Ovis aries: one gene and its partner. The protein of the gene in region 1 interacts with the protein of each later gene in a pairwise test. Links are inferred from orthologs where the notes say so. Each region holds a gene or a part of one and is shown on either strand. Other genes may lie near its edges. The genes, in order: SSX2IP and SHFL.

What was found.
Region 2: the proteins of SSX2IP (region 1) and SHFL interact in binary tests that used the Homo sapiens proteins (3 or more experiments, as listed by UniProt). The two-hybrid records come from large-scale screens. The link is inferred for Ovis aries from reciprocal best matches to the Homo sapiens genes SSX2IP and SHFL.

What each region holds. Positions count from the first base shown.
Region 1 is NC_056054.1:61,669,948-61,685,850, reverse strand, and holds the end of SSX2IP (afadin- and alpha-actinin-binding protein), read left to right. Parts: intron 1-475; coding exon 476-612; intron 613-952; coding exon 953-1,126; intron 1,127-3,981; coding exon 3,982-4,096; intron 4,097-4,562; coding exon 4,563-4,728; intron 4,729-7,960; coding exon of another isoform or gene 7,961-7,964; exon of another isoform or gene 7,965-8,462; coding exon 8,463-8,640; 3' UTR 8,641-9,320; downstream 9,321-15,903. UniProt on the Homo sapiens protein: Belongs to an adhesion system, which plays a role in the organization of homotypic, interneuronal and heterotypic cell-cell adherens junctions (AJs).
Region 2 is NC_056058.1:12,498,428-12,514,884, forward strand, and holds SHFL (shiftless antiviral inhibitor of ribosomal frameshifting protein), read left to right. Parts: upstream 1-6,578; 5' UTR 6,579-6,666; coding exon 6,667-6,687; intron 6,688-7,145; coding exon 7,146-7,269; intron 7,270-7,460; coding exon 7,461-7,510; intron 7,511-8,880; coding exon 8,881-8,919; intron 8,920-9,061; coding exon 9,062-9,211; intron 9,212-9,643; coding exon 9,644-9,747; intron 9,748-9,888; coding exon 9,889-10,043; intron 10,044-10,500; coding exon of another isoform or gene 10,501-10,586; coding exon 10,587-10,813; 3' UTR 10,814-10,890; downstream 10,891-16,457. Other genes in the region: ANGPTL6 (angiopoietin-related protein 6), read right to left, coding at 11,108-11,298, 11,797-12,067, 12,146-12,333, 12,871-13,048, 14,166-14,741.

The DNA of each region.
Region 1 (15,903 bases):
ATTTAATAACAGCAAGATTTGTAATCTTGCACTGATCTTTGAGGAAGTGTCAAAAGAGTATAGTTTATGAATGTTAATTTTTCTGGGAACATAGGTTTGCATTTCTAATTAGGACATCATCTTGAATGAATACAAATTACAGGTTAAATGTTGGAAATAGAATTTTGTAAGTAAGGATATCATTTAGTCCAGAAATAGCGTGAATTTTATAGTTACCACGAACTCATTACAGTTGCTTACTTAAAAAAATATTTTAGTGTTAAATAATATACCTTTTATTCTATTTTATTATAGCTAGTGGAGTTTTTAAAGGACAAAAGAAATAACTACCTTTTAGAAAACCGTTGAGATTCCAGAAAGGGAAAACCTTTCTGATTTTTAAATTTATTTCTTGATTTTTAAATATATGTCCCCAAATGCCATAAACTAAAATGGAGACTATAAGGTTTATGTCAAATTATTGGTTTTGTATTAGTTTCAAAGGTACACTTAGAAGGTTTTAATGACGAAGATGTAATCTCACGACAAGACCATGAACAAGAAACTGAAAAACTCGAGTTGGAAATTCAGCAGTGTAAAGAGATGATTAAAACTCAGCAGCAACTTTTACAGGTAAACGCAGGACACCTTTTAAAGCTGTTCTCCCCTGTGAAGGGTCAGGATTTTATTGAATCTTACTAGATTTTTGCTCCTTTATTTCGTAAGATATGTTTTACAGTCTAAGTTCTCTGCTTGCTAGCAGATAGACCACAAAGCATCATTAGTCGATGCTTTGCCTTTTAGAGTAGAAGCATTTGGGAAATGAGGCTTCTCATTTCCATTGACTTTCTGATTCTTCATCATCTCTCTCCTTGCCCTGAAGTTAGGCCTGCTTTTTTTGCTTGCTTTCATTTCAACTTGTTGGAGTGTTGCAGGGACCCTCTGGAACTTACTATGTGTTAAAATTTAATAGCAGCAGCTCGCTACTGCTTGTGATGATGACACCACTTCACTGCTACGAGACTGTTACTTGTTGGAAGAAAAGGAACGCCTCAAAGAAGAGTGGTCCCTTTTTAAAGAGCAGAAAAAGAATTTCGAGAAGGAAAGACGAAGCTTTACAGAAGCAGCTATTCGCCTAGGATTGGAGGTATTTTAAGCAATTGGCCTTCCTTGTAGAATGTTTGAAGGTCCTGGAGAAGCCTCACTAGAATGCATTGAAGTTCTTATTTTTTGTTTTTTTGCTGTACATTTCCTCAAGTATTTTACCAGTGATTTCACAAAATAGCTTGAAACGGAAGCTGTAATAGAGGTGTATCATTTTGCCTTCAGATTTGGGAATTGAAAAAAATTTTATATTGAAAAAACTAGGCCTTTGTCATGCCTTCTGGGTAGCTTTCTGCTTGCTGTTAAGAGTTTTGCTTCACGAAGGAGATTTCTTCTGGGCATCTGTCATCTCTCCGCTGTTAGTAGGTGTAAAGTCAGGAGAGAGTTCAGCCGAGAGAGTGTCTTGGGTTTTTTTTAAGGGAAGGGAGAGTACAGTACCATTGCCTTACCCAGGGATGAACTGTGTGTATGCGCTTCAGCAGCTCGCCTTTTTATTTAGTAGTGTGTTACATGCACTATTTCCCTATCCAAACCTAGAGAAGTAATGTCTGGACATGATTTAAAAAAAGAAACTCATTCCAAAAAGCTACAAGGTGTGAAAGTATCCTTCCTTCTTCTCAGTTTCATTCCTCAGAGGTACCACTATTGAAGGTTTATGATTCTTCTGGGAAAAACTATTTTAGCTTGAATAAAATTCAGCCTTTTTTCTTACAGTCAGCCTATTGACTCCCCACTATGAAACACAAGGAGTTTAGTGCCCTTACCATACCTCCCATCTACACTATTTCTCATATACATATGATTTCTCCATAATATTGTTACTTTTTTAAGCTAATTTTTAAAGAACTGTTTCTCCTGGTTGATTTTTTTACTCGGAGTAAATTTGTTTAATGCTTCCATTCCATGTTTGCTCAGCGTTAGACAGGATGGGTTTATCCCTGAAATGGAAGGTGAGGGCGTCCTTGTAGTTACCCTTGTTGCAGTGCTTTTACCCCTCGACTGCTCAGTTTTTGTCAGTGATGCTATTTTTCACTGTCAAGTGTTACCACATTTATACTCTGATTTTTAATACAAATTCAAGTGTAAGTACTTTGTCCAGGATTGCGATTTAAGAATGGAAACCAGAAAGAACATTGATAACCCTGTGATTATATGAATATTCATTCTATGGCCGAGTAATACGTTTGGACACTTTTATATAGCATTCTTTGTTGTTAAAACTGTCACGCAGAAGAGAATCTGTAGTGAATTCTGTGACTTTTTTGTGGGTGCTTGCTTTATGATTTCTGAATCAGGTTCAGCTTCTATCTCGTATTCTCTTTCTTGGGTTCCTTTTTCAATCTGTTGTATTACCTTCTTGAGTAATTTTTTCACAAGTGTGTGTGAGTGACAAATATTCTGAATTCTGGACTATCCAAAAATATATTCATACTTGATTGGTTTGCCTGGATGTAGAATTGTTTTCCAACTTTTCCTTTCAAAACTGTGAGTTATTCTGATTCTTCCATTGTTTGATTTTGCTCATGAGCAGCCTGGTTATAAAATACCCTGGGTTAATTTTAGACAGCTGTGCTGTTTTTCCCCCTCTGTGGAAGCTTTTGCAATTTTATGTTCTTAAATTAAGAGTTGTGAAATTTTACCAGGGTAGGTCTGGGTAGCTCCTTTTAACCTGAAGATGCTCTATTTCTTCAGTTCAGGGATATTTTCTTCAATTCTGTATTTTTTCCTTCTCTGACTTCTCTTGCATTCTGGAACTTCTGCTAGACAAATATTTGGCCTTCTGACTACATCTATAGATTGACTTTATGTTCCGAATTTGGGAATATTTTCTCTTTTATCTTGTGCAGCACCAACCTGGTATTCAGCAAGGTCAGTTTGATTTTTCACTTCATCCACTGAGTTTTTACTTCACAATTTATCTTTTAAGTTTTATAGTGTATTTTTTGTTTTGTGTCTCATATTATATTTTACAGATGTCTTTAAGTCTGTCTGATAATTTGTGTTATCTTAAAAAAACTTGCCTTGAGCTTTACCCATGGCCAGTTCTCTTTATTTCTCCTGGCATTTTTCTTCTATGCTATTACTTTTCTTCAAATGTCTGGTGATCCATGATTTTGTATTAATGTTTATGAATGAAAGACTGTATGTTATCTTAAGTAGCCGACGCCTTCCTCCTTCATTACGAAATTCTGTGTTATCTATAGCTATTGTCTTCCTCAGGAAACAGACAGTTTGTGCCAGCATTTTCTCCCATCTTACGGGATCACCTCTGTTTCTGAGCTCATATCCCTCACCTCTCTCCGTGCCAGTCCAAGAGATACTCTTGTTACTTTGCATACGAATCTCCCTGAAAGGGAGACCTGAGAGGTGAGGGAGAATTTAGGATCCATCCCCTGCGCCTTCAGAAGGGGGAGGTTTCACATACGCCCTCTTGTGGTCCTAAGTGATGAGGGCTGCTAGGCCCTGGGCCGTGGCTTGAGGAAGAGAGCGGTGCTCAGTGAAGCCTTTTTCTTCCCCAAGTGATTAGTTTACAATGGGGTATTTTTCTGTTGTTTGTAATCTTATAGTTACCATGTTTTGTATGTTCAAAAGTTATGCTGATATTCTGTATGTTTAAAGTTATGCTAATGTGCTTATTTTTCTGTGTTATACTCTTGAATTTATTCAGAATGGATGTGAAAATAGTAGTTGACTTGTTAGGAGAAACAGGTGAATTTTTATTTCTAACAGCTTTCTTAAATGAGGTTTAATTTTGGTTTTCTAGGGTTAATTCCTCTGACTTAATATATAGAGACAGTCAGAGAGCAAGCACAAGTGCCTACAGAAATCGTGCGAATCGGCAACTATGTGAATGCTGGAATACTGATCATTGTTTCTTTGGTTTGCTTGTTACGGCAGAGAAAGGCATTTGAAGAAGAAAGAGCCAGTTGGTTAAAGCAACAGTTTTTAAATATGACTACCTTTGACCACCAGAACTCAGAAAATGTGAAACTTTTCAGTGCCTTCTCAGGAAGTGAGTACTTCGTAAGCTTTTTAATCTGAAAATACATGTAAATAAAGTACTGTAGGTTATTAATATATAACTTTAGCAGTCACCAGTAAGAACTCTCTAATTGGAATAAAAGTCAACTTTGATATTTTAATTTACTGTAACCAAAATAGAAATGACAGGAGGATTTTGCATACCGAAGACAACTTTTGTGAGTGTAATGTCAAGTTTTGAAAATCCACAATCTAGAAATATTTTTTAAACTAGATCCTCCTAAATGTTTGTGGACTGAATGTAGCAAAGTTCACCAGATTAGCTAGACTACACTCATACGTACAGAAGATATTCAGATTGTTCTCACACCTCCCTTAGAGCTGCAAAGGAACCTAGTCTAGGCTCCTAGTTGATTACCTTCAGTGTATTTATTACTAATGCTTCCTCATATGTACTGCCTTTTTTTCTTCCTTCTTTTTCTTCTTTTTTTTAATAGGTTCTGATCGGGACACCCCTACATTACACTCGAGGTCACGGCAAAAGAAGCCTCACGGTGTGCCTAGCGGGTCTCCAGTTTGCACGTCTAAACTGACTAAGTCTCTTCCTGCTTCTCCTTCTACTTCAGACTTTTGCCAGACACGTTCTTGTGCATCTGAACATAGGTACTGGCCTGTAGGTGATCTCCTCACACACTTGTTACAGTGCTAGAGAGGCATTGTGAAGGAAGAGCTGGCCTGTCTAGGATGAGGACTAGTAAAGGCTCTGAAGAGGAACTGAGTAGATTGACTCATTCATTGTACACATATTTATTGGGTACCCATTACATAGAGACGCCTATTAACGTGGGGAATACAGTGGTGAGCAAGGTAGCTCTGGTCGCTGTCTTCTGGGTGCGGAGTCATATACATATGTGATTCTTTTTATTTCACGGGTAAAATACAACTTAAAGTACAGTCTTATCTCAGGAGTTACTTAATATTTTAATTGTATTGAATAGAAGGATATTGCATTGATAGTTTCTGTAGAGTACCTCTTTAAGCATCTCATGTGGTATGCCCATGTTATGGATGTGGAAGGACAAAGACCTGAGAAAAGCTACCTTCCTTTGACTGGTGACGAGGATCTGTGTCCAAGGGTGACAGGACAGGCAGAGTTGCTCCACACCCCCCAGGAAAGCCAGATAACTGCTTTTAACTGCTGCATTTCAGTATTTTCCTTGGTCTTAAGTTGTTAAATCATTTTCTAAGGTATAATGTCAGCACTACCTTAGAGCCTATTTCAAGATTAATTTTGAACTAAGCAGATGGAACATTCCTAGGGAGGTAGAGAAGAACAGAAAAGAGCAAAGGGCTGTGTCGCAACGTGTGGCATGATCTCGTTCCTCGCCGTTAAAGTAGGAGATAGTGGCTCTTGGCCCTGGCCAGGCATCTCAGAACCGCAGGAGCTGGGGCTGGCGTACACTTGGCCTGTCCAGTGACAGACTGGCATGGAGCCCAGTGCTGAAGAGGCCAAATAGCCCTTGAACCAATAATTGTCCATTTTTGAAACAAAATTTAAGAATTTTTAAACAAAAATGTGAAGTTTTAGAAAAGGACAAGGCGTTCTATTTTATAGTTGACTTTTAAAAGGATTCGGGCTCTAAATATTAAATATGGAGGGGCAAAAAAAGACTGGGGGATGAGCCCTCCAGGCAAGTGTAGGGACCCTGAAGTAGGACACAGGTGTGTTTGTGCGAGTAAAACCAAGTGGTGTGAAGGTGAGAGGTAATATTTTATGTAACAGTTCAAATATATACAGATACAAAGAGAATACGGTCAGGGTCCCTGTGTACCCATCACCCAGGTTCGTTAGTTGTCAACTCATGACTAATATGTTTGTATACAACCCTGCTGTGCTTGACACCTCCCCCCCATGATGCACTTAAGATTTCATTTGTAAACTATGTTAGTCTGTACTTGTAAGTAGGATTGTTCTAAGGCATTGGAAGACAATTGGAGACCTTATAAGTGAGAGAATGATTTTTTAAAAACCTAAGTTCTAAAAAGATGACTTCATTTTATTATGTGATAAACAGATTGTAGAAGCCAGTAATATAAGCCAGGAGACCCAGTTAGAAGACGTCAGTGGAGTGGACATGAGAGACGTAGTCATCTGGACTCTGGGGTCATAACCTGAAGATAGGGCTATGCTTAGATTTAGGCTGTATTCTGCAGTTAGAGCCAGTGGGTTGACTGATGGGTTAAATGTGGGAAGGTAAAGTTTGTTTAATTTACAATCAAAAGATAATGTAAGCTCAGAGTATATGTGTAGAATGTTATTGAAACCCCCAAATTGACCAATCAAAACTCTGCGTATAGATTTAGATACACATTCTAGTCGCAATTCACAAATGCAGGCAGCCCTCAGAGACGTTGCAGACTCAGCTCCAGACCACTGAGACAAAAGGGAATATCACAACAAAGCGTGCTACTTGAACTTGCCGGCTTCCCAGTGCATGTAAAAGTTGTGTTTGCACTGTATTGTTATCGATTGAGTGTGCAGTAGCAGTGTATTTAGAGAACAGTGTGCCTACCATAATTAAAAAATACTTCATCACTAGGAAACAACCCAAGATTGCCATAAACCCTCAGTTTGTAAAAAATACAATATCTGCAAAGTGTACAGTAAGTTGAAATGCAATAAAATGAAGTATGCTTATAATGCATTCTGTACCTAAAGGAGAATGTAGCCTAGTTGCCTCAATTATATTTATATATTTAGAATTTTTACTTTTTTACATAATTATTTTTAGTTATAACTCCTTGAAGACTGTGTTTAATGAAAAGGCCAACATTTAGTACCTACATTAAGGGTACTGTGTGAGATGCAGTGCCAGTATATGTAAAGCACTTAAAACAGTACTTGGCCCTTTGTAAACCTTCAGTAGCAGCATATAAAAATATATGTAAGCATAAATGGATTATAAAAATGCTTTTCTGTTTCTTGTATCCCAAGAGCTACACTGAACAGTATCAGTGGCATAGAAACAGAATTTTGGAGCTTAAGAAAATTTCGTTAAGCTATTCCCAGTTGCTGGCCTCTGAGGATAAAATAAGAGTCACGTGACTAGTTATCAAGCAAGAAGCTGTGCAGCTTGACATCGGCCTTGAAATTTTTAATTATTTGGTGTATTTGAATTCCTGATCTTCAAGCACTTTGGATCTGGGTTTGTAATAAGATTATGGCAAAATAATTAGGAGTATTTATGCCTAATTTCTATAGCACATCCTCATTCCTCCTTCACTGTAGAGTGGAATGTTACATATCAGCTGTAACTCACGTTACAGCAACGTAACGGCAAAGTAACTCACGTACTAAGTTATGTAGGAAACTTAGTTCACCATTGATCTAATCTCATCTGAGATGGCAGGGATTCTGAATCTGATTTATAAGCAAGTGCCTTTTTTTTTTTTTAAAGCAAATAAGTATAAAATTGTCAGTGTTTTTGGTTTAGAGTTTTAGAATTGGAGCACCTTAATTTTTTTAAGGATTGCCACATTATAAGGTTGAGTTATTAACCAAAGTCACATCAAAAAATGAATATTTAGGGAAAATAAGTTTTATGGAAAAAATTAAGCTATTTAGTTGATAAAAATGTATTGTTCATTGGCTCAGCCCATGATTTGCGAGTAGTCATTTAACTAAATTTCCTTGCTTTGAGGCTGGTTGCAGAGCATACCTCAGACAGTATCTCTGAAGTTAGGGGTCTGTATCAGTGTTCAGACACTTAAATTGTTGTTGTCTGACACTTAAAGTTAATTGAGCATCATCACACGTGCTTAGTGTGTGTTAACTCATTTAGTTTCCACCTCAAGCCTATGAGTTATGGGTTCTAATATTATTTCCACTTTACAGCTGAGGAAGCTGAAGAACAGCAGGGCTTAACTTGCCAGAAATGATGCACTAAGTGTCCAGCTGGGATGTGAACCTAAACCATCTGTTCGGGCCTAGACTCTTCACTACTTTGTAGGCCCTCATTAAATATCTGCATGGCTGAATGGATGGAGGATGCAAGCGTGCATGAACAAATCAATGAGTGAAGAAAGAAAGCATAAAAAGACTAGGACATTGTGGTATGGGAGACATTAGCTTTCAAAATTCACATGTTATCTGTCTGCCTTAGGCTCTGGTTGGGTAGCATCCTTCAGAGTAGACTGAACAGATAAATAAATAGATGGATAGATCAAAGTGATAAATTAGACTAGACCATGTTAAAGCACTTGTATGTTCTTGACCAGTGTGTCCTCAAAATTTTTGTTTAGCATGGGGCAAGGGAGAAATCAGATTTTAGACATTCAGGCATATCTAAGGTATGAAGGGAGGAGATAATAATTAAGATCTGCCTTTCTTTCCCCAGCAGTTCAATCAATGTACTGAATATCACCCCTGAAGAAACTAAGCCAAATCAGGTTGGAAGAGAATGTACAAATCAGAAGTGGAGCATGTCGTCAAGGCCTGGGTCACAGGAAGGTTGCTATAGTGGATGCTCCTTGGCCTACACAAATTCTCATGTAGAGAAGGATGACTTACCTTAGATATATGAACAGGGAGTTTTTTTTTTCATTAACATGGTCATCAGATTTCACATCTGAGTTGAAACAGGGCATGTTATAAAGTCAGTGATCTCTTAATAATTTAAGGTGGTCTGTGTTGTTTGTTTGGACTTCCCTGTTCCTCCCCAAAGAGCTAAAATGTTAAATCTATTTAAAAGGATATAAAAACTTTGGATATGTATTTTTAGTAACAGAAGCATCTGGTTCTGTGAATAAAGGAATGTATACATGTTTGGATGAAAACAAAGCACTAGAATGAGTTTCCTATTATAGATCTTAAAAATAGCACTTTTAGGAAACTGATTATTGTAAATGTTTAATTTTGTCTCATACATAGTTGGCATTGGAAGTTTAGCCTTTCCTTGAATGTATACTGTAGATTTTTAACAAAGCAAGTTCTATATTTATTATGTTTAATGTGATTTGAAATTCCCTCTTTCATATGTTTTAAATAAAGTGAAGTTTATGTATGTTTTGTACATAGATATACATGATTATGTTAAGAGGCTTTAAGATTTAAAGATTTTACACATCCATAATTATAGTATTTCATGCCGGTAAATTTTTATTAGTGATATTCTGTTACAGATGTATGAAAGCCATTGCAGCATTATGTTTAAGAAGTTTTTGAACCCATCTGAGCAATAAATACTCAAAAGCTATTCCATGAAGCCAAGTTCTTTAGATAATTAATATTACTAACATTCCATTTTTGAGATTTCTATAGCATTGGATTTTTTTAATATGAAGGATATTACAATTTTCAAAGGACTGTTGATTTTAGGGTAATAGAGGTAAGATGATTAGAGTACCTTTGGATAAAACAATTTAAGAGTATTGGCTTAGGATACTTCGATGTTAGAAGATACTGATATTTAAGATGTTTGGATGGTGATATTTTCTTTACCAGATGGGTACCCATACTGTAACGCCTGTACCAGCAAAGGCTTTGTATAGTTGCCAATAATTATTTAATAATTTTTCAATGAGATATTTAGTAATAAGGGAATCTGACAACATAAATTATCAGACTTTATAGTCCAGATACTATGATACTCTGGACAGACTTGTTTTATTTTCTGGACTAATTGCATGTTTCTTCATGGTTGTTGTTGTTGTTATTATTTATAGTAAGAATAATGTAAGTGTGGGCCCAAGCCCTTTCCAGGGTTTTCATCAGAAAGCTTTAAGTACCTAACCCTTATTTATCTCTGCATGTAGAAACCTACACATACCCAGTCCTTGCTGCAGGTATTGTAGTTGAGGCCCATCTGCCTTCCCATTTTCTAGTAGTTTTAACCATTTATATTCACTCACCTGGTTGCGGCTGTCCCATTGAAATTTGTCGTGTTAAATAGTACTTTTGTCACCCACTCACTGTATAGAAAACTTTTTCAGGGCTAATAGCATATCATTGAGTATCTTATAAGACATTAGTGAAAGTACTGCAGTTACAGTCTCAAAAAGCTGGCTCTTGAGTAAAAGCAAATTAGTCACTCACTACATTCAGCTTGGTGCATGCCCTTTCTTTACCATTTAAAATAGTAGAAATTATGCAGAATTTCAGAAATAGTACCATATTCCAAAGGAAGAAACAGCTGGTGGTATAATTCTTTGGCTACTTGCAAAGAGTCGGACGTGACTGAGCGACTGAACTGAACTGAGCAATAATGATATCAAAGAAAAGCAAATTTTCTAAATAGTGATATATTTGTCAAGAATTGGGTGTTTTTTTCAGGGGTTTCCATGATATACTTGGCTAGAAACTTGCTCTAGTTTTTAAATTAGATCTTATTTTAGGGAATGTTGCATTTCATAGTGATGAATTTCTACAAAGCAGCATGTTTTTTCTTTCCATTTTGGAGTTGGTTGAATTCTCTTATTGAAAAGCAAAATTCCCTTGAGACTTACTTTGAAATCTCAGGTGTGAAAGAAAGAAAATGAAAGCCAGGGTCATCATACTTTTGAAAAAAGTGTGCATAGATCTGCCAGAAGTCATGTGTTTTACTTAACAGTGTAAGTTACGTTTCAGCTCCAACAATGGTTCCTAGTTTCGCAAAGCTTCCCAAAATGTTAAAAAGGTTTCCATGCTGGATAACTCCTGACTCCACATATAAAACTCCTACTAGAGTTTGTTTCCCTTCCTTCTGTAGGTATTTGCTGTGTTCTAGTAGTTGAGCCATGTGGCAGTCTTACATTTAGCTATGATGGTGCATGAGAGCACCATGTTCACTTTTGCTTGGAAGCCCTCCTGACCATCTTAAATGTCTTCTTGTTTCAGTTCAGTTCAGTTCAGTCGCTCAGTCGTGTCCGACTCTTTGCGACGCCGTGAATTGCAGCATGCCAGGCCTCCCTGTCTATCACCAACTCCTGGAGTTCACTCAAACTCATGTCCATTGAGTTGGTGATGCCATCCAGCCATCTCATCCTCTGTCGTCCCCATTTCCTCTTGCCCCCAAGTCCCTTCCAGCATCAGAGTCTTTTCCAATGAGTCAACTTTTCGCATGAGGTGGCCAAAGTACTAGAGTTTCAGCTTTAGCATCATTCCTTCCAAGGAATACCCAGGGCTGATCTCCTTTAGAATGGACTGGTTGGATCTCCTTGCAGTCCAAGGGACTTTCAAGAGTCTTCTCCAACACCACAGTTCAAAAGCATCAATTCTTCAGCGCTCAGCTCTCTTCCCAGTCCAACTCTCACATCCATTCATGACCACTGGAAAAACCATAGCCTTGACTAGACGGACCTTAGTTGGCAAAGTAATGTCTCTGCTTTTCAATATGCTATCTAGGTTGGTCATAACTTTTCTTCCAAGGAGTAAGCATCTTTTAATTTCATGGCTGCAGTCAGCATCTGCAGTGATTTTGGAGCCCCCCCAAAAATAAAGTCTGACATTGTTTCCCCATCTATTTCCCATGAAGTGATGGGACCAGATGCCATGATCTTCGTTTTCTGAATGTTGAGCATTAAGCCAACATTTTCACTCTCCTCTTTCACTTTCATCAAGAGGCTTTTTAGTTCCTCTTTACTTTCTGCCATAAGGGTGGTATCATCTGCATATCTGAGGTTATTGATATTTCTCCCGGCAATCTTCTTGTTTATCAGGATGCAAATCTGAAATATTTTGTGCCTTATTTGTTTTTGCCTGACATGCCCATTTTGAATTTTTGAAGCATAAAAGTGGCAAAGGAAATAGAGAAAAATTTTATTTCCTACTCTTAAATTTTTATATCTTCAGGATATGATGAGAAACTTAATAGAAGAATAATCCTACCAGAAAATTAAGATAAAAATTAAACATAATAAATAGGTATTTTCTTATAGAAGCAATGCATCAAGTGTTTAGATTCATAGACCAGTCCACAGCAAATTGTTTCCTTCATAGTATAATTAAAATACTATTGTTACTTAAAAGTTCCATTTTTCCTACCTTTGCTGACCAGGCTTGTTCTTAGGCTTGTGATGTAACAGGTTTTCTGGGAAAACATATTTCACGGTGCATGGTGAGAAGGAAAGCACCCTAGAATCCAGTCTTGACTCACCCTAATGGAGCATTTGAAAACACCTGGGATGCAGGGAGAGGTTTTGCAGACTGTGAGCTAGCGAGCCCCTGTGTGATTCGCTGTTCTAAAAGTCTTGAATGCCTTGTTGCCTGATGTAAATCATGTTCTTATTTCTAGATTGTATTTAAAATATACGTGTGAGTCATGGGAGTGTACTAAATATATTTTTTCCCTATGTTTATCCTTAATTTTAAAAAATCTTTTCATAAGCAAATAAAGTACCTGCTGTGTCAGGCCTTATTAATACCTTCTAGTCAGTCACTAGGGAGAGAAAGACAACTAATGCTTTCTGCCACTGAGAATCTCTGGGTTGAGTGAAAGACCAGCTATAAAAACCTAAATTGTAAACGATGGGAAATGCTTTTCAGATGTTCAGTCTGGTGATAACCGTGGACTGATTGTTCTATTCCAGGACTGTATATCCATCTCATAACAATGCTGTGGCAAGCTTCTAGTTAGAGTCTTTGCGTTATTTCCTATGGGAAGAACTATGTAACTAATATATTATTTTGTTTTTGTTGGGTGTTGGGTTTTGTTTTCTACAATCAAAATACCTGCAAAGCAGCATTAAGAATTACTGCCCACAAGAACATGTATTATTATCTAATAGAGAAAGAATTTGCAAAGATTTGGGCCATGTAGATAAGGATAATGAGGTAGATTATCTCGGTCATTTCTCTAAATAGGATGCATTTTTTTCAGGTTGGTTGTAGATTAAAGTGAAATGGAACTAATTAAATTATTTGATTTATATAAAAATATTTCACTTGAGTGTTTTGGTTTTTTTTTTAACATTTATAAATACCTCATTTCAGAGGTCTCAGAAAGTACTGTAATGCCAGTAATATATAAAGATCCTGGTAGAGATCCTTCCATACTCATATTTTACATCCAGAAATACTTGTACCTTGTAAGATGCTTAATGCATAGTGAGCATGGGATATTTGTTAATGAAAGGTGTGAAATACTAATGAACCTAGTATTTATACTTGTATAATGAAACACATTGCTTCATTGGCATGAATGGACTAAATTTCCGGTCAGAATCCTGAAACTTCTTTCTCAATAGTGATAGGCACCTTTTTGGGTTGATTTCCAACCTGATGTAGTTTGATTCCTCACACAGGGCATTGGAATAGAGTAAGCCATTCTACAGTGAAAAATACCAAACTGGTGTGGCTGTGCACAAAGACTGAATTCTTGCTTGTGAAATGACCAGTGCGGCCGGGCAGTCAGCCTCCTTCATGCCATCTGGCTCATATGGCCCACAGTGTTGTCACATCTGGGAAAAAGCAGACCGGTTGGTGATGTTGGCTGTTAAGAACCAGATCTGAAAGAGACATGCTTTCTACACATTACTTCATCCAGAACCTAGGCCTACAGCCCCAGCCTAACAACAAACCAGACTGGAGGACACAGGAAATGTAGCTATTTGGTGAGCACTGAGAGCTTACTTGGCTGCGTAATACGTTTGGTGAGTTAACTTATTTAAAAAATAAGCAGCCAGGGACTTACTTCCCTGGTGGTTCCGTGGTGAAGAATCTGCCTGCCAATGCAGCAGACATGCTGGAGGGTTTGATCCCTCATCCAGGAAGGTCTCACACGCCATGGGGGAACTAAGCCCGTGCATCACAACTATGGAGCCTGTGCTGTAGTGTCAAGAAACTGCAACTACTGAGGCCATGTGCCTTAGAGGCCATGCTCCACAACAAGAAGCCACGACGAACAGAAGCCCACACACCGCAGCTAGAAGGTAGCCCCTGCCCTCTACAACTAGAGAAAAGCCTGCTCAGCAACCAAGACCCCGCACGTAAATTATTTTTTTTAAAATCGGCAAAACACACTTCTCTGTGCACAGCATTTATTGCTGATTAATTATTAAAGATTCAAATAGCCTTAATTTATGGAAGGGATATATTTTAAGTCTCTAACCTTTCCATAATATGAAGTTTTTAAAAGTTTAAATGGTAGTTTTACACATTTACTAAAACATAGTGTACATAACATGTATTTTATGTTGATTCAACAACGCTGTGAAAAAGAATATTAACCTATTTTTATTTTTTTAATTTTTATTAAAAATTTTGTTGAGGTATAGTTGATGGACAATATTATGTGTTTCAGGTATATAACTTATTGGTTCACAATTTTCAAAGGTTATGCTTCACTTAGAGTTACAATAAAATATTGGCTAACTACACTTCAAGAAAATTAGAGACACCAAGGGAATATTTCATGCAAAGATGGGCTTGATAAAGGACATAAATGGTATGGACCTAACAGAAGCAGAAGATACTAAGAAGAGGTGGCAAGAATACACAGAAGAACTGTAAAAAAGCGATCTTCACAACCAAGATAATCACGATGGTGTGATCACTCACCTAGAGCCAGACATCCAGGAATGTGAAGTCAAGTGGGCCTTAGAAAGCATCACTAAAAGCTAGTGGAGGTGATGGAATTCCAGTTAAGCTATTTCAAATCCTGAAGGATGGTGCTGTGAAAGTGCTGCACTCAATATGCTAGCAAATGTGGAAAACTCAGCAGTGGCCACAGGACTGGAAGAGGTCAGTTTTCATTCCAATCCCAAAGAAAGGCAATGCCAAAGAATGCTCAGACTACCACACAATTGCACTCATCTCACACGCTAGCAAAGTAATGCTCAAAATTCTCCAAGCCAGGCTTCAACAGTATGTGAACTGTGAACTTCCAGATGTTCAAGCTGGATTTAGAGAAGGCAGAGGAACCAGAGATCCAAATTGCCAACATCCGCTGGATCATTGAAAAAGCAAGAGAGTTCCAGAAAAACATCTATTTCTGCTTTATTGACTATGGCAAAGCCTTTGACTGTGTGGATCACAATAAACTGTGGAAAATTCTGAAAGAGATGGGAATATCAGACCACCTGACCTGCCTCTTGAGAAATCTGTATGCAGGTCAGGAAGCAACAGTTAGAACTGGCCATGGAACAACAGACTGGTTCCAAATAGGAAAAGGAGTGCATCAAGGCTGTATATTGTCACCCTGCTTATTTAACTTCTATGCAGAGTACATCATGAGAAACGCTGGGCTGGAAGAAGCACAAGCTGGAATCAAGATTGCTGGGAGAAATATTGATCACCTCAGATAAGCAGATGACACCACCATTATGGCAGAAAGTGAAGAGGAACTAAAAAGCCTCTTGATGAAAGTGAAAATGGAGAGTGAAAAAGTTGGCTTAAAGCTCAACATTCAGAAAACGAAGATCATGGCATCCGGTCCCATCACTTCATGGGAAATAGATGGGGAAACAGTGGAAACAGTGTCAGACTTTATTTTGGGGGGCTCCAAAATCACTGCAGATGGTGACTGCAGCCATGAAATAAAAAGACACTTACTCCTTGGAAGAAAAGTTATGACCAACCTAGATAGTATATTCAAAAGCAGAGACATTACTTTGCAAACAAAGGTCCATCTAGTCAAGGCTATGTTTTTTCCAGTGGTCATGAATGATGTGAGAGTTGGACCGTGAAGAAAGCTGAGAATTGATGCTTTTGAACTGTGGTGTTGGAGAAGACTGTTGAGAGTCCCTTGGACTCCAAGGAGATCAGCCCTGGGATTTCTTTGGAGGGAATGACGCTGAAGCTGAAACTCCAGTACTTTGGCCACCTCATGTGAAGAGTTGACTCATTGGAAAAGACTCATGCTG
Region 2 (16,457 bases), on another chromosome or scaffold:
ATGAACTATGTGGATGAAACTTTTTTCTGAGCCACAAATAATAAAAAACAAATACTGATCAATCATGCTAGAGAAAAAATAAATTATCTTTGTAGTCAATCTGAAGAAAATATTACAAATCATTGTCACATGAAGAGTCGGTTAAAGAGTTTGTTGTTGTTTAGCCACTAAGTCATGACTGATTCTTTGTGACCCCATGGACTATAGCCTGCCAGGCTCCTCTGTCCATGAGATTTCCCAGGTAAGAATAGTGGAGTGGGTAGCCATTTCCTTCTCCAGGGGATCTTCCTGGCCCAGGGATCAAACCTGAGTTCCCTGAATTGCAGGCAGATTCTTTACCACTAAACCACCTGGGAAGTGAAGTGAAGTGAAGTGAAGTGAAGTCGCTCAGTTGTGTCCAACTCATTGCGACCCCATGGACTGTAGCCTACCAGGCTCCTCCCTCCATGGGATTCTCCAGGCAAGAGTACTGGAGTGGGTTGCCATTTCCTTCTCCAGGGGATCTTCCCGACCCAGGGATCGAACCCGGGTCTCCAGCATTCCAGGCAGATGCTTTAACCTCTGAGCCACCAGGGAAGCCCACACCACCTGGGAAACCCTGGTTAAAGAGGATATACCCATAAAAAGTAGGGGGATGTTTGGAGAGGCATGCTTGACAGTTAATTAATAAAAACACTTTGTTATTTTAAAAAAATAGCACATCATGCTTTAGTAGGTATTGCAGAGTTGCTCTCTCCAATGATTCTACCAAAGGACACTCTTTCCAACCAACAATATGGAGATTTCCCATACCCCAACATCCCCAGTTCTAGGCATCCCCAAATTTCTTCATCTGGTTAAACTGAGGGAGGGACTTAACCAGCAGTTAAGACTCTGTGTTTCCACTGCAGGGGGCACAGGTTCAACCCCTGGTCAGGGAACTAAGATGCTGCATGCTGCTCACTGTGGTCTAATTAATGAAGCTGAGGGAGAAATTGACTAGGTTTTGAAAAGCACACACATCCTCCAATCATGTCCATTTCCTCCACAACTAAACATACTTTTCACCCAGCATACGCCCCTGAAGGTCCAACTGAAGGTCAAGATTTGGGTGTGATCTTCCCCTCCGTTCACTCTCCACCCTGCTCACTAAACCCCAGCTGACGTCTCCTATAGATTCCTGCAATATACCCAGCCCCCTCCCACCTCAGGACCTTTGCACATGCTTCTCTCTCTACCTGCACCTCGTCACCTTGTTGTTGTTATTCAGTTGCTCAGTCGTGTCTGACTCCTTGTGACCCCATGGGCTGCAGCACCCCAGGCCTCCCTGTCCTTCACCATCTCCCACAGTTTGCTCAAACTAATGTCCATTGACTCGGTGATGCCATCCAACCATCCCCTGTTGCCCCCTTCTCCCCCTGCCTTCAATCTTTCCCAACATCAGGGTCTTTTCCAGTGAATTGGCTTTTCACATCAGGTGGCCAAAGTATTGAAGCTTCAGCTTCAGCATCAGTCCTTCCAGTGAGTATTCAGGGTTGATTTCCTTTAGGGTTGACTGATTTGGTCTCCTTTCTGCCCAAGGGACTCTCAAGAGTCTTCTCCAGCACCACAGTTCAAAAGCATCAATTCTTCAGCACTCAGCTTTCTTTATTGTCCAACTCTCACATCCATACATGACCACTGGAAAAGGCATAGCTTTGACTGGACAGACCTTTGTCAGCAAAGTGATATCTCTGCTTTTTAATATACTGTCTAGCTTTCTCACAGCTTTTCTTCCAAAGAGTGAATTTTAATTTCATGGCTGCAGTCACCATCTTCAGTGATTTTGGAGCCCAAGAAGTAAGGTTTGCCACTGTTTCCATGTTTTCCCTAGGTAGTTCCTATTCCCTATTTATCCTTTGGAGAGAACCCTCCACCCCTAGGAGGTTCTTGTTTTCCCTTTTGTAATAATATTACCCCCTTTATATGATTTCTATCTGGATCAAATGAGATACACAGTTCAAAACCCTTGACACAGTGTTTCAGAAAGTGTCAAGACTTCATTTCAGTGGGGCTTCCCTGGCCTCCAGCGGTTAGGACTCATAGCTTTCACTGTCATGGCCCCAGGTTCCATCCCTGTAAAGGAACTAAGATCCCGCAAGCCACAAATGCGGCAAAAAAATAAAAACTTCAGTTCGAGAGACATCTCATCCATGAGGCCCTCCCTGACCACCCTACACACATCTGGTTCCCAAGTGTTATCCTTTCTTATGGATCTCTCAATTTCTCTTTTTGGTACATACCATAAATATAAATAATTCCTTCTGCTATCATCTGCTTCTTGTTTCTCTTTCAGATTAAGACCATGACTCCAGAAGGATAGAAATGGTGCCCAGCACCATACCTGCCAGACAGGAGGTGTTTGATCCATGTCTGTCCAATAAATGAACGGATAGGTCAAATGGGTTCCGTCTTTGACTCAATTACTAAAATGTCAGAGGTTACACTTCTTATCACTGTTATCACCCCATCCATCCCCCCCCTCTTCACACCTTTCCCTAAAGGCAAAGAATAAAATGCATTCGTGTCCACATCATGGGACAAGAAAGCTATCTATATGTGTCCAGACAGACCAAGATGGTTACAGAGCTCAAACTAAACTTTGATGTAGGCAGCGCCTCCATGTGATCGCTGGGAATCTTTGTTTTTCTGTTCATCGTGTTTAGTCGCTAAGTCATGTCAGAGACTTTTGCGACCCTACGGACAGTTGCCCGCCAGGCTGCTCTGCCCATGGGATTTCCCAGGCACGAATACTGGAGTGGGGTGCCATTCGCTTCTCCAGGGCATCTTCCCAGCTCGGGGACCAAACTGTGTCTTCTGCACTGGCAGGCGGAAATTGCCAAGCCACCAGGGAAGCCCTCTGTTCACCTATAAATGCCCAAATTCAATACTCACAGGCTGTATCTCTGTCCCTCCAGAGTGACTCTCACCCTCTCCTCCTGCTCTGTGCCCTGACAGGCTGACTGCCTGACCGGCTCCCTTTCCTTCCTTGCCTTCTGGCGCTGGAAGCGAGAGACTCCAGTAGGAGATGGGGAGGGAGGAGGGGAGAGAGGGCAGGGTCTTTATCCTCCTCTTCCTAAACACAGGCTGGATCTGGCAACTCAATTTTACCACACAGGATGTGGCGGCTGAAGGGATGCTCTGGGACTTTCAAGGCTAGGTCACGAAACGATACAACTTCCACCTGGCTTTCCTTCTCTTGTGTTGCCTGCCCTGGCGCGGCCAGCTGCCAGGTTGGGCATATCAAACTCAAGTCAACCTAGGTAGTGCGGAACTGAGGCATCCCGCCAACAACCAGCACTCACCTGCCAGTCACGTGTGAGTGAGCCTCCTTGGAAACAAGAGCCTTCAGCCCCAGTCAAACCTTCAAAGGAACGCAGCCCCAGTCAACATGTCGACTACAATCTTATGGAGACCCTGAGCCAGAAAGCCTACTAAAGCCGTCCTTGGGTTCCTGACCCACAAAAATTGTGTGAGCTAATAAGTGTTTCTTGTTTTAAGTCGCTACGTGTGTGCGTACTGTCACTTCAGTCATGTCCATCTCTGTCACCCCATGTCAGCCCATGTCACCCCACATCACCCCATGTCAGTCCATGAGGATTCTCCAGGCAGGAATACTGGAGTGGGTTGCCATGCCCTCTTCCAGGGGATCTTCGTAACCCAGGGATCGAACCCACATCTCCTGCACTGGCAGGCAGGTTCTTTACCACTAGCGCCACCTGGGAAGCCCTTAAGCCATTACATTTGGGGAGATAATTTGTTACACAGCAACAGAGAACTACAACACCTGGTAAGAAGAGTCCCCAGTTACCATTCTTCCTGGAACCCTCTTCCTCTGCATCCTTCAGGTTTCCACTCAGATGTTACTTCTCACAGCCTTCCCTAAACCCTCTTTACCCATCCCCCTGTCGTAGTTTATTTTTCATCCTGGCACATATTATCTCCTGAAAGTTGTAAGAGTGTTAGTCACTCAGTTGTGTCTGACTACAACTCCACGGAGTGTAGCCCACCAGGCTCCTCTGTCCATGGGATTCTCCAGGCCAGAATACTGGAGTGGTAGCCATTCCCTTCTCCAGGGGATCTTCCTGACCCAGGGATCGAACCCAGGGATCGAACCCAGGTCTCCCGCATTGCGGGCAGATTCTTTACTGTCTGAGCCACCAGGGAAACTGCCTACCCATCACATATTTGTTTCTTCTATCTCCCCCACTAGAATGCTAGCTCTGTAGGGCAGGGATCTTTGTTTTCTGTGATGCTGTGTCCATGGTGCATGGAACAGTGCCTGGCACAGAGCAAGCTCTCACTATGGTGATCATTAGGATGAGAAGCTAACAGACATGAATTGTGTTGGGGCTTGATCAGATTCCCACCTGTTCCCTGCCTGTTCTGTGCTCACCGTGACCAGGGATGGGACATAGCTGTGACCTCCCCCTCCACTGGGTAAGTAGTAGTTGGGAACTATAAGGAGAGAGCCCCTCCATGCCTCCCCGCTTCTCTGGGATAAAATCCTAGGTCCTCTCAGCAGTCTTCAACCTTTTCTGCACCAGAAACCATTTTCCTGGAAGACAGTTTTTCCACAGACGGCGTGGGGGGTGGGGGGATGGTTTCGGGATGATTCGAGTGCATTACATTTAGTGTGCGATCTATTTCGATTATTATTGCATCAGCTCCACCTCAAATCATCAGGCATCAGATCCCAGAGGTTAGGGACCACTGCTCTGTGACGCCTACAGCCCCTCATTCCTGCCTGAAACCCCACCACTCAGCCACAAAGAACCATGAACTGTTTACACTCGTTAATAGAGTAGGCTCCAGGGAGGAATGCCTAGACTCCACAAACAAAACTTTGGAGTTCGAGTAGAAAACATTAGAACATTTATATTTTTAATCATTGGGGATCTTCCCCACCCAGGAATTGAACCCCCGTCTCTGGAGTCTCCTGCATTGGCAGGCAAATTCTTTACTACTAGCGCCACCTGGGAAGCCCAACGAATATCATTATGTAACAAATACATTATTATAAAATGATCTACAGAATCTGATCTTTCTCTAGTAGCTCAGTTGGGAAAGAATCTGCCCGCAGTGCAGGAGACCTGGGTTCGATTTCTGGGTCGGGAAGATCCCATGGAGAAGGAAATGGCAACCCACTCCAGTATTCTTGCCTGGAAAATCTCATGGACAGAGGAGCCTGGCAGTCCATGGGGTCGCAAGAGTCGGACACGAATTAGCGACTAAACCACCACCACAGAATCTGAGTATTTGTATATAATTCATACTGTATTTGTATATAATTCATAAACAAACACTCTTCGAGGAATTGAGCTTCCACATCTTTACTGATGGAGGTTAAACAATTTGAGGGGTGTCATTTATCCTAACACAATTTTGCCACCCCCAGGGAACATTTGGCAACGTCTGGAGACATTTTCAGTTACCACGACTGGGGCAAGAGTGCCACAGGCATCTAGCGGATTGAAGCCAGGGATGCTGCTAAATATCCTACAATGCACAGGGCAGGCCTCCAGAATCACCCAGCCCTAAATGCCAATAGCGTTGAGGTTGAGAAGCCCTGGCTTAAAGCGCTAGTCACTTTTTTCTGGGGTCTTTGCACCCAAAGCTGTTCCATCCCGCACTCCGATCTTCTGACTGCTGAGACCTCGGTCTTCCGGACTCCTCCAAGAAGCCATTTTTTTCTTTTTTTAAAGAAACCATTTCTGATGCCGCCAGGCAGGGCTCTTCCAGCCCCCTCGCCCACCCCCCACCCCCCATGCTGGGTTAAAATCGTCCTGATCCCTCGGGGTTCTCAATCTTCCGTTTTTCAGCGCAAATTCCCTGGAACCCCTAGACAGACCGATTCTGCAAGACTGTGAGGAACCAGGAATCCGTATTTTTAACGAGCATCTTCTCCCCACCACAACTGCCTGCTTCTTAATATCTTGCACATAGTAGGTGGCCCAGTGACTAGTTGAATGTCTACAGCATGGCAGGCGCTACTAAATACTCGACCTGGGGATCTCGAATCCTGCACCTGCGCGCGCGCGCGCACAGGCATGAGCGCGCGCGAGCACACACACCCGTCCCCAGGATGTAGCCACTATCATCATCCCCACTTTACAGCGAAGTAAACTGAGGTTCAGAGAGAAGACATAGCCGGATAAGACACTCAGAGCGAGACAGGGGTCTAGATCCTCATTAGCGCCTGATTCCGGGTGGAGGGAGGGGACCGAGCGATGAACAGGGGAGCGCGAACAGGCGGGGGCACGGAGACTCGCCGCGGCCTTCAGATGCGGCCCCGCCCCCACGAGGGACGTGAAGACGCGGACCCCGCGCAGCGTGGGGACATGTGACCGACTGCAGAGGCCGCGCCGCTTCCCCCGCCCGAGTTCTGCGCGCTCCGCCGCAGGGTGCAGATCCGGGGCGCCCGCCTGGGTTTGGGGCGCAAGAGCAGAGGCGGAGCCAGGGCGGAGCCAGCCCTCCCCGTCCACCCCCCCGTTCCCAAACGAAAGCGAAACGGAGCGCAGGAAAGGAAGGGCGGAGCCGGCCTGGAGGCCCCGCCCCCTGCCCTGCGCGGCCGGACCGACGGGCGCGCCCAGGTAGGGGGCCGCCGAGCGCGCAGTGCGGACCCTCGCGGGGACCTACGCCGCCACCATGTCTCAAGAAGGTGTGGAGGTAGGAGATGGCTACAACTGGGCCGGTGGCCCGCGAGAGATGCTGAGGAGGAGCTAGGGGCACGGAGCGGGCTTCGCAGTTGCTGGGGACTCCATCCAAGCCCAGACCTTCCCCCCAAGGCTGGCACTCGTCTCCCTCGGAAAGGAGAGTGACCGCCACATGCCCCGGAGCAAAATGCGGCCTCCTCGAGGGAAAGCGGGGGCTGCTGGGTCAAGGGTCAGAGGCCAGGGGTCATCTGGCCGGCCTCATCCCTTAGCCTGGGACGCTCGCCCTAGTCCGCTCCCTCCCCCAGTACTCTGTGGGGACTTTGGCTTTTTCCAGGAAATGCAGTAGAGGGATGGGGGGGGGGGGTGCGAAGGCCAAAACCCGGGGTCAAGTTCGGGCCGTGAAAAAAGGAAGCCTAGGGATGGAGGAAGGGCAATTGCGCTTTTCCTTCCCCCACCGGTCCCCTACCCCAGCTGGAGAAAAGCGTCCGGCGCCTCCGGGAGAAGTTTCATGGAAAGGTATCCTCCAAGAAGGCAGGGACTCTGATGAGGAAATTTGGCAGCGACCACACTGGAGTGGGGCGCTCCATCGTGTATGGTGAGCAGGTGGGGGTCCTGCCTGGTGAGAGTTAAGCTGGGGAGCAGGGAGGGGGTGTGGTCTGTGCTGGGGGCTGGAAGAGGCGATGAGATCATCTCTTTGGGGGGCGGTCTGGATCGGGGTTCTGGGGGCCCTGAAATTCCCACAAAACCTTTCAAGGGGCCTTCACTTACACTTACTCTCCCCACCAGGGGTAAAGCAGAAGGATGGACAGGAACTGAGTAATGATCTGGACACCCAGGTAAACTGCCCCCTCCCCTCAAAACACGTGGTAAGGGAAGGAAGAAGGGAAGGGTCAGGCTCATCCCTGGCAGAGCTCTTTCTGTGCACTGTCCATCCACAACTCATGGTCTAGCCTCATTCACTTACCTCTCAGTTATGGATCTGACCAAGGAGCCTGCAAACCATAGGTGCTCATTACATGCTGATTGTATGAAATGGAGAGAGACAAGAAACTAGGCAGTGAAAAGAATCCGGATTATCATCATTACAGAGGAGCCAAAGAGGTCAGGGAAGGCTTCCTGGAGGAGGTGGTACCACATTCTTCAAGCCTAGGGAGGAGTGATCCCTGGGAAGGGGAGGGGTTGGAGATCTTCCTGGAAGAGAGGGTGACCTGAGCAGAGGAACTTGCAGACAGGTTGGGACGAGTAAGAGATAGGGGAGGAAAGAGGGGCAGGGAAGCCCATGTAAATGAATGACTAAAGCAATGAATGAATGAGAGCCTTTGTATGGCCACTTTGCCCCTTAGATGGCCTTGGTAGCTGGTGCACTGGTTTGCCTGTCTGAAAGGGCCCAGCACAGAGCTGTTAAAGAGTATAATAAAGTATGTTTTATACTTGTAACATTTATATATTTACAGTTATACATATAATGAGTATAATAAAACTAGCAAAGAGTATCATTGATTGAGCACTTTCCCTGCAACAGGACTCCAGGAATTCTGTTGACTTATTGCCACAGGTCCTGTGAGACAAGTCCTATTATTTATCATATCCACTTGACAGATGAGGAAACTGAGACACAGGGTGATGAAGTCACTCACCAGGCTCATGCTGAATGCAGGTGGTGACTGGGATTTGAACCCAGGTCACCTAGAGTCAGAACCTGGACTCCTAGATGTCCTTCATTAGGGAGAGTGGCTTGGCCACGACCCCACAGCTGGAAGTGATGAGGCCAGGATTCCAACCTGTGGCTCTCTGAATCCAGAGCTCAAGCACTTAGCCTAAAGCAGCATAGCCTCAAACAGGTGACCTGTCACAATGCCAGCAAGTGTGTGGCATTTGCCAGCATGAAGGGAGCATGGGGCCCAGGCCTGTTGCCCACACTCACTCAGGGTAATCTCAGGCAAGCCCTCTCAGAGCTCTGGGCCTCAGTTTCCCCATCTGAGCAATGAGGATCACAGGTGTGCCCACCTCTCAGGGTTGCTATGAGGACAACTGAGGTCACACACCCTTGCCCTCAGGAAGTGGAAACTGCTCAATTAACTCCTCTTGAGTTGGGGACACCTTACTCATATGGGGCCAGAACCCTGCCTCCCCATCCAGAAGCCCTGCCCCCAGAAAAGAGGCATGAGCCACCTCCCCAGTTTCTACCCCTGATGTTTCCACCCAGGACCCCCCAGAGGACATGAAGCAGGACCAGGACATCCAGGTGAGTCCAGGGTGTGGGATGGGGAGGTGGAGCGGTGTGCACACCCCTGGGGGTATCCATACGTGAGAAGGAGGGACAGGATAGGGGTTTGGAAGAGAAGAGGACTGACCGCCCTCTTGGCCCCGCCCACCCCATTCTGCAGGCGGTGGCGACATCCCTCCTGCCACTGACAGAAGACAATCTACGCATGTTCCAGCGTGCCCAGGAAGACCTCATCCCTGCCGTGGACCGGCAGTTCGCCTGCTCCTCCTGTGACCATGTCTGGTGGCGCCGCGTGCCCCAGCGGAAAGAGGTGATAACCCAATCCCTGACCTTGGTTCTGTCCCGGCTCTGCTCCCAACCCCCATTCTGTGTCCAAACCAACTGACCTAAGAACATCAGCCTCTGAGACCCCAACCCCGGACACCTGCAGCCTCAGAGATCAACCCCAATCTCAGCCCCAACGCTGACCTACTGAGCTGGACTTTCAACATTCAACTGGAGAAGCTCAACTTACCCTTGAACTCTTGACTATGGCGTTTGACCACTACCACAGAAATCAAGCCTGAACCCCAAATCTGGCTTCTGAACCCCCTGACCAGTGGTGTGCTTCTGATAAACGCCTACCAACCAGGAACGAAGTGCCCCCAGATTTACAGTGTTCGCCAATTTCGATGGTGTAAATCCCAACGTGACCACCATCAGGCTATCGGTGCCCATCTGCTCCGCTCTTCTGTACCCCCAGGTGTCCAGATGCAGGAAATGCCGGAAGCGCTATGATCCCGTGCCCAGTGACAAGATGTGGGGCGTGGCTGAATTCCACTGCCCGAAATGTCGACACAACTTCCGGTGAGGGCACAACTTCCCGAGAGGGTGCTGACCCCACCCCCTCACCCTCGGCCCCGCCCCAGCCCCGCCCCGCCCCTCCCTGCCCTGGCCCCATCCTGGCCCAGCTGGCCTTTGGACCCTCACGGCCCTGCCCGCCCCCAGGGGCTGGGCACAGATGGGGTCCCGGTCCCCCTGCTACGGGTGCGGCTTCCCTGTGTATCCGACACGGATCCTCCCTCCGCGCTGGGATCGCGACCCGGATCGCCGCAGTACCCACACCCACTCCTGCTCCGCTGAGGACTGCTACAATCGGAGAGGTGAGCGCCTGCTGCGTCCGCATGGCCTCCCCCTGTTCCAGTCTATGTGGCCTGGACTCCTGGGATTTCCACCTCTGGGGCTTTACCTACCAAGGTGTCTGCTTGCTTCTTGCACCTAACTCCTTAGGTCCTAGTTCTAGAGGCCATTTCATCTCTTACCACATCGGCCCCTCCTTCCACATCTTCCACCGTCCTCCACCTCCTTGCCTCCAGGTCTCTCCTGGAGGGGGGGTCCCTCCTCACACTCACCTCCCGTGGCATCAGCCACCCTCCATGTTCTCACCCATGAGGCTTTGTGGTTTCACCCTGACAACCCACATCCCAGGGTCCTGTGGACTCAGCCCCTGCAGTCTCTCTGTGTTCTTGGCTCCTGTGTGGTCCTCTGTAGTCTCAGGTGATGCCCATGACCGTGGGTCTCCTGTGGCTTCAACGTCTGTGACTTCCACTTCTGCCCTAGAGCCTGTGGCCGCAGCCCCTCCCCTCCCCCAAAGCACCCCGTGGCCTCCAGCCCCAGGAGAGGGCTCAGAACCTCTCCCTCCCCAGAGCCCCATGTGCCTGGGACGTCCTGTGCGCACCCCAAGAGCCGAAAGCAGAACCACCTGCCCAAAGTCCTGCACCCCAGCAACCTCCACATCAGCAGTGGCTCCACTGTGGCTACCTGCCTGAGCCAGGGGGGCCTCCTGGAAGACCTGGACAACCTCATTCTGGAGGACCTGAAGGAGGAGGAGGAAGAGGAGGAGGACGAGGAGGAGGGCGGGCACGGGGAGTGACCCCTGCCAGATGCAGATGAAAACCAGACACGGTCTGTGGCTATTTTGTGTTGTTATAAAATATGAGCTCAAACTGAGATCTCAATGCCCTTGGGGAGCCGTCTGGGTCCAGGATATTGGCAGGGGGATTCCTGGGCACTGTCTACAAAGCCCTGGGGAAGCCCTGCAGATCCACAATGGGAGGAGGTCTGTGGGGCATGGTCTGCATGGAGCCACAAAGGAGGGGTGGCCAGGACAACTTGGGCTCCTGCTGACACACATCCCCTGGGACCTGAGGGACAGATGGACAGAGGGTCACAGCCTCAGGGGCCTAATCAGCATGGCAGCCTTCTTGAGAGAGTAAGCCCCACCACGAAACTCGGCCCAGTAGACCCCATCCTGGTAGCGGCTACGGTAGTGGCCACCACGATGCCACACACCATTGAGGTTGGAGTGGGCACAGGCATGGTACCACCAGCCTCCCCGCTGGTACAGGGCACAGTTACCTGAGGGGAGAGGGGGAAAAAAGCCTTATTTTATTCTTCTCACCAGAATAAAAGCCTCTACCAGCACCTCACTAACACAAGGCTTTTGCCAGGCATACTCTGTCCCCCTACTTCAAAGTAATAGCCTTAGTTTCTTCCTTATCCCCTTACCAAAGTACAAGTCACATTTTCCTCCGTCCTTTCTGCAAACAAGGAGCTTTTCCTCTCATTCCTTTACCAGAAAAAACAACCTTCTCTACTTTCTTTCTACAATAGTTAAAAGTCCTAGCTCTCACAGCTCCCCCTTTCCCCCACCTCCTTTCACAAAGGCTGAGGCCCTGACTTATTAACTCATTAGAGAATGAACGTAGACTCCCTCACCAGAATAAAAGTCCTGTCCTCCATTCTCTTGTTTGCCCTGATCCCTACCAGAGGAAAGTCTTACCCCACCCTCTTTCATTTCCTCACTAAGAGTCTTCTATCCTGCCCCCACACACCACCAAAATAAGAGCCCTTTACCAGAATAGGAGTCTCGGTCTCTATCCACGGTGCTGAAAGGCTTGTCATTATGCCAGGAAAGAGAATCTCCAGCATCACCATGGTACTGGCCAAGCCGCAGGCGGTAGTGGTCACTCTCAGGCTCCAGGGAAAAACCATCATAGTGGGCGCGTGCCCCACGGCCTCCCCAGTCTTCAAGGAGCACCAGTAGCTCATGGTCCCCACGGCTGGTGAGCTGATGCACAGGTTCAAGGCCCAGCCAGTATTCCCCATCAGGCTCCCCGAAGCCCACCTGGCAGGGCAAGAAAGTCAGAAAGGTAGGCGCTGGGCCCCTTCCCCGCCCAGCCCTGCCCCACCCACCTGTGCCCACCTTGTAGTGCTGCCAGGTAGTGAAGAAGTTGACCGAGCCATCTTGCCGCCTCTGAATCACAGTCCAGCCTCCGCCCTCCAGCTGTTGCTCACACCATGCTGACACCACGTGCCGGCCCACTCGTAACTCATACACTCCACTCTGTCCATGGCCTGCCTGGCGGGCCTCTGCACAATCCCGCCATGGGCCTATGGGCACAGGGATATGGGAGAGGCACAAGCTACACCAGTCAACCCCTTACTGGAGTAAGAGTCTTGATTCTCACTGGTCCCCTCACCAGAAGTACTGCTTCTCTTATTCCCTCTCCAGGATAAAAGCCCCCAAACCCTTTTTCTTACCTAAATTAGACTCTAAGTCACTCTTCTCTCAGTAGAGCAAATGTGGAGGCTGGGATTCTTAAATCCTATGGTTTCACCAGAAGAGAGGTCCTGAACATGGCTCTCTGAACTTCCTCAAATTCTCACCAAAGTAGCATTCTTAAATCTGCTGCCCTCTCATCAAAATAAGAGTACCTCTCCTAGTTTCACACCATAGTAAGAATTTTGTTCCTTAAGAGCCATATCTCCCTGTTCCATCAACAGAATAAAAATGCATCATTTCCCCCCCAGTCCCCTCACCACAAGGGGAATCTCACATTAAGGTCCTGACTCCTATTTCCCTCTATTCATGCTGCACTGGGAATCCCCTGGCTCCTCACACCCCCAACAGCCATGCCCTTGACTTACCTGCTGGCTTAGGAGGAACAGCAGGGTGCCCTGAGGGCAGAGGAGAGGCCAGGGGTCCTGGCTGTCTCAGGGTCTGATCTCTCTGGGGTTCTGCGGCTGAGTTTAGCCTCCTGCCGCTGTCGTCAGTGCCACCCACCAAACTGACGGGAACCACAGGTACCAGGGGTGGGGGCAGGACCTGGGGTAACCAAGAAAGTCAGATGCGTTAGCCCTGGAGGCTCTGGGCTCTTACATCTCCCAGCACCCAGATGGGAAGGCGATCAAGCAGGAGCATGGCTTGATCTTCCCCAGCCTAACTCCAGCAGTCAAGAAGAGACAGAGCTGGACTTCCTGGTGGTCCAGCAGTTGGGACTCTGCTTCTACTGCAAGGGGAGGGGTTCAGTCCCTGGTCGGGGAACTAAGATCCCCCATGCCTCAAGGTGTGGCCAAAAAATTTTAAAAGAGACAGAGCTGGGCTTAAACTCTTGCTCTGGTGTCCACAGCTTAACCAATCTGTTCCTCCAAACTTTTCTGTAAAGCAGGGATAATATGAGGCAATGCAACACTTGAGTATTAACTTACTGAAGCCTCCCAAACCTGTAAGGTAGCTACCGTCAGAGCAACGATCTCTTATTCAAAACCCAAGGCCAGACATAGTCCAGAATTCTAAATAATAGAGCAGGAGTTAGAAACAATAACTGGAGAAGGAAATGGCAACCCACTCCAATATTCTTGCCTGGGAACCCGCATGGACAGAGGAGCCTGGCAGGCTACAGTCCATGGGGCTGCAGAGAGTCAGACACGACTTAGACTAAAGGGCAACAAGAAACAGTAACACAGGGTCTACATATATTCCCTAGCATCCCCAATGAGGTCTTCATGCACATATTAGTAATATACCTAATTACAGGAATCTGCCTGCAATGCAGGAGAGCTGGGTTCAATTCCTGGGTCAGGAAGAAACCCTGAAGAAGGAAATGGCAACCCACTCCAGTATTCTTGCCTGGAGAATCCCATGGACAGAGGAGCCTGGCAGGCTACAGTCCGTGGGGGTCGCAAGAATCAGACACGACTTAGCGACTAAAGCACCACCACTGAGTATTCATATCAGGTAGATAAGTAAAGACTTTAAGTAGCTACCAGTAGCGTTTTGACCCAAATGAGTTGTTGGTGGAGAGGTAGGGATCCGGTTTATGGAGCTTTTTGTACTTCAGAACTGCGGATAAGAGATCCTGGGGTTTCAAGAGGCCACACCTTACTGACAACGCCCACAAGAAGTGGCTGAGATTTGGGGAGGGTGATAGTTTCGGAGTTACCTGCTGCTGCCCTCCCGCACTCCCCGGGCACAAGCGCTCCAGGCGGGCGATGAGGCCACTCTGCTGGCTGACTAGCTGTGCCAGCTCGCGGAACTTGACGTCCAGCTGGTGGAAGCGGGCGGCAGCGCGCTGAGCCTCTGCCGAGGCGTTCAGCACGCGATCCCCGAGCAGCGCCAGCGCGGAGGCGGGCTCCGCCCCCGGACTAGGCCCCGCCCCTGGGCCCGCCTCGTGCTGCAGCTGCGCGCGCAGCTGGCCCAGGCGCGCGCTCAAACCACGGCTCTCCTTGCGCAGCGCACGCACTTCGCCAGCTACGGCGCCGTCGGCCGTTGCCAGCCGCTGAAGTTCGCGCAGCAATTCCTCGTGGCGACTCACGCGCACGCGCAGCGCCGCCACCTCGCTGGCGTTCACGGCCTCCGGCGTCGGGCGCGCGGCCGCTGGCCCGCTCCAGCACACGGCGCCTGTGAACTTCTGCGGGGGCAGCACGAAGGTGTAGGTGCAGCGCGGAGCGGCTGCGCGCGCCCACCACGCGCCCAGCAGGAGCAGCAGCTGCAACGTGAGCAGCCGGGGTGCCGACATGGCGGACCTGCGGGCAGAGAATGAACGGGAAGGAGGGGGGCTGGACCCCCGACTGTCAAGTCGGACCAAACCCTGTCCTCTCCCACACGGGAACGCACATGTCTACACCTGCGTGTATCAGGGGCCGCACACGCCGGATACATCCCCTTCCCAGGCCCAAGGTTGGAGATGCTGCAGTAGAACCCATCCCTGGCCTCACCCCTGAGTTCCAGGCGCCCTGCAGGTCAATATGCCTCGTGCATTCACTCTGCAAGGCTTCACTGAGCTTAGTGTTTACTGGCCTCAGTTCTAGGCGCTTGGGAATACAGTCGGGGGCAGCACACACACACAAAATCCCTGCCCTGGTGAGCAAGAAACAAAATTAAGTTAGAATTCATAGAGTATTAGACGGCCCTAGTTTGTATTAAAGATAGCAGTAAAAGAGGGGAATACCCTGGCCGTCAGTGGTTTAACTGCGCTTTCGCTGTTCGGGACTTGGATTCCGTCCCTGGTCGGTCCAGGAGCTAAGATCCCACAAGAGGCCAAAAAAAAAAAAAAAAGAAAAAAGACACCAGTGAAAAGACAGGGATTTGAGAGGAGGGAAGACCTGGAGGAGGTGACATTTTTATAGAAAAACCTGAGGGAGGAAACCATGGGGTTTCTAGGAGAGAAGAGGTCCCTGGCAGGGGGAACTGAAACTTGAAAAGCCCTGAGGGTGGATCATGCCTGATGTGTTAAAGGACCTGGAGGAAGCTGAAGCAGAAGCCATGGGAAAATGGGAGAGGGGATGAGGGAAAAGTCCCCCTAACTCAGTCTAGTAGCGGACACCACATTTCCCATATACCCAGCCCCAAACCCCAGGGTTGTCTGCGTTTCTTTCTCCATGGCAGATGGAACTCATCAGCCAGGCCTGTCAGCTCTGGTGTTTAGACCCTGAATTCCTGCACATCACCCCCCACCACCCCGTGCTAACCCCATCCCATGATCCAAGCTCAAGACACCATCTGGCTTTCCTGACAGCAGCTACCTCCCAGTCTCCAGGCTTCTGTCCTCAGGTTCTGTTCTGGTTTTCCAACAGCAGCCAGAGAATGCCTGTGAACACCCAAGTCAGGTCATGTCCCCACTTAGAGGAAAAACCCAAGTCCTCCTGCAGCGCAGAAAGTTCCACAAGCTCTGTCCAGTCCCCTCCCTTCCTCACCTCCTCCTGTTCACCCTACTCACTCTGCTCCAGCCACCCTGGCTTCCTGGCTGTTCCTCAAACACACAAGGCATCCTTCAGCCTTAAGGCATTTGCACTTGCTGTTTTCTCAGCCTAGAATATGCTGCTCTGAATTTATCATGCCTCCCTCTCCTTATTCAGGTCTCAGCTGTCTCCTTAGAAGCCCTCCTCGACAACCCCATTTAAAGTCGCCCCTCCTGGGCACACCCTATACGGACTTTTTCTTTCTTCTTTCCTTTTTTTTTTTTTTTTAAATATTTATTTATTTGGCTGCACTGGTCTTACTTGCAGCATGTGGGATCTAGTTTCCTGACCACAGATTTAACCAGGCCCCCTGCACTGAGAGCGTAGAATCTCAGCCAGTGAACCACCTGGGAAGTCCCTGTGGTCTTTGTCATTTTAGCATTTGTCACTTTGCATTTGCCTCATTGATTTGCCATTGTTTATGCTCTGAATTCCTCCACCAAAATAGCAGCTCCCAGAGGCTGAGTCTGGGTTTTGTTCACTGCTCTGTTCTC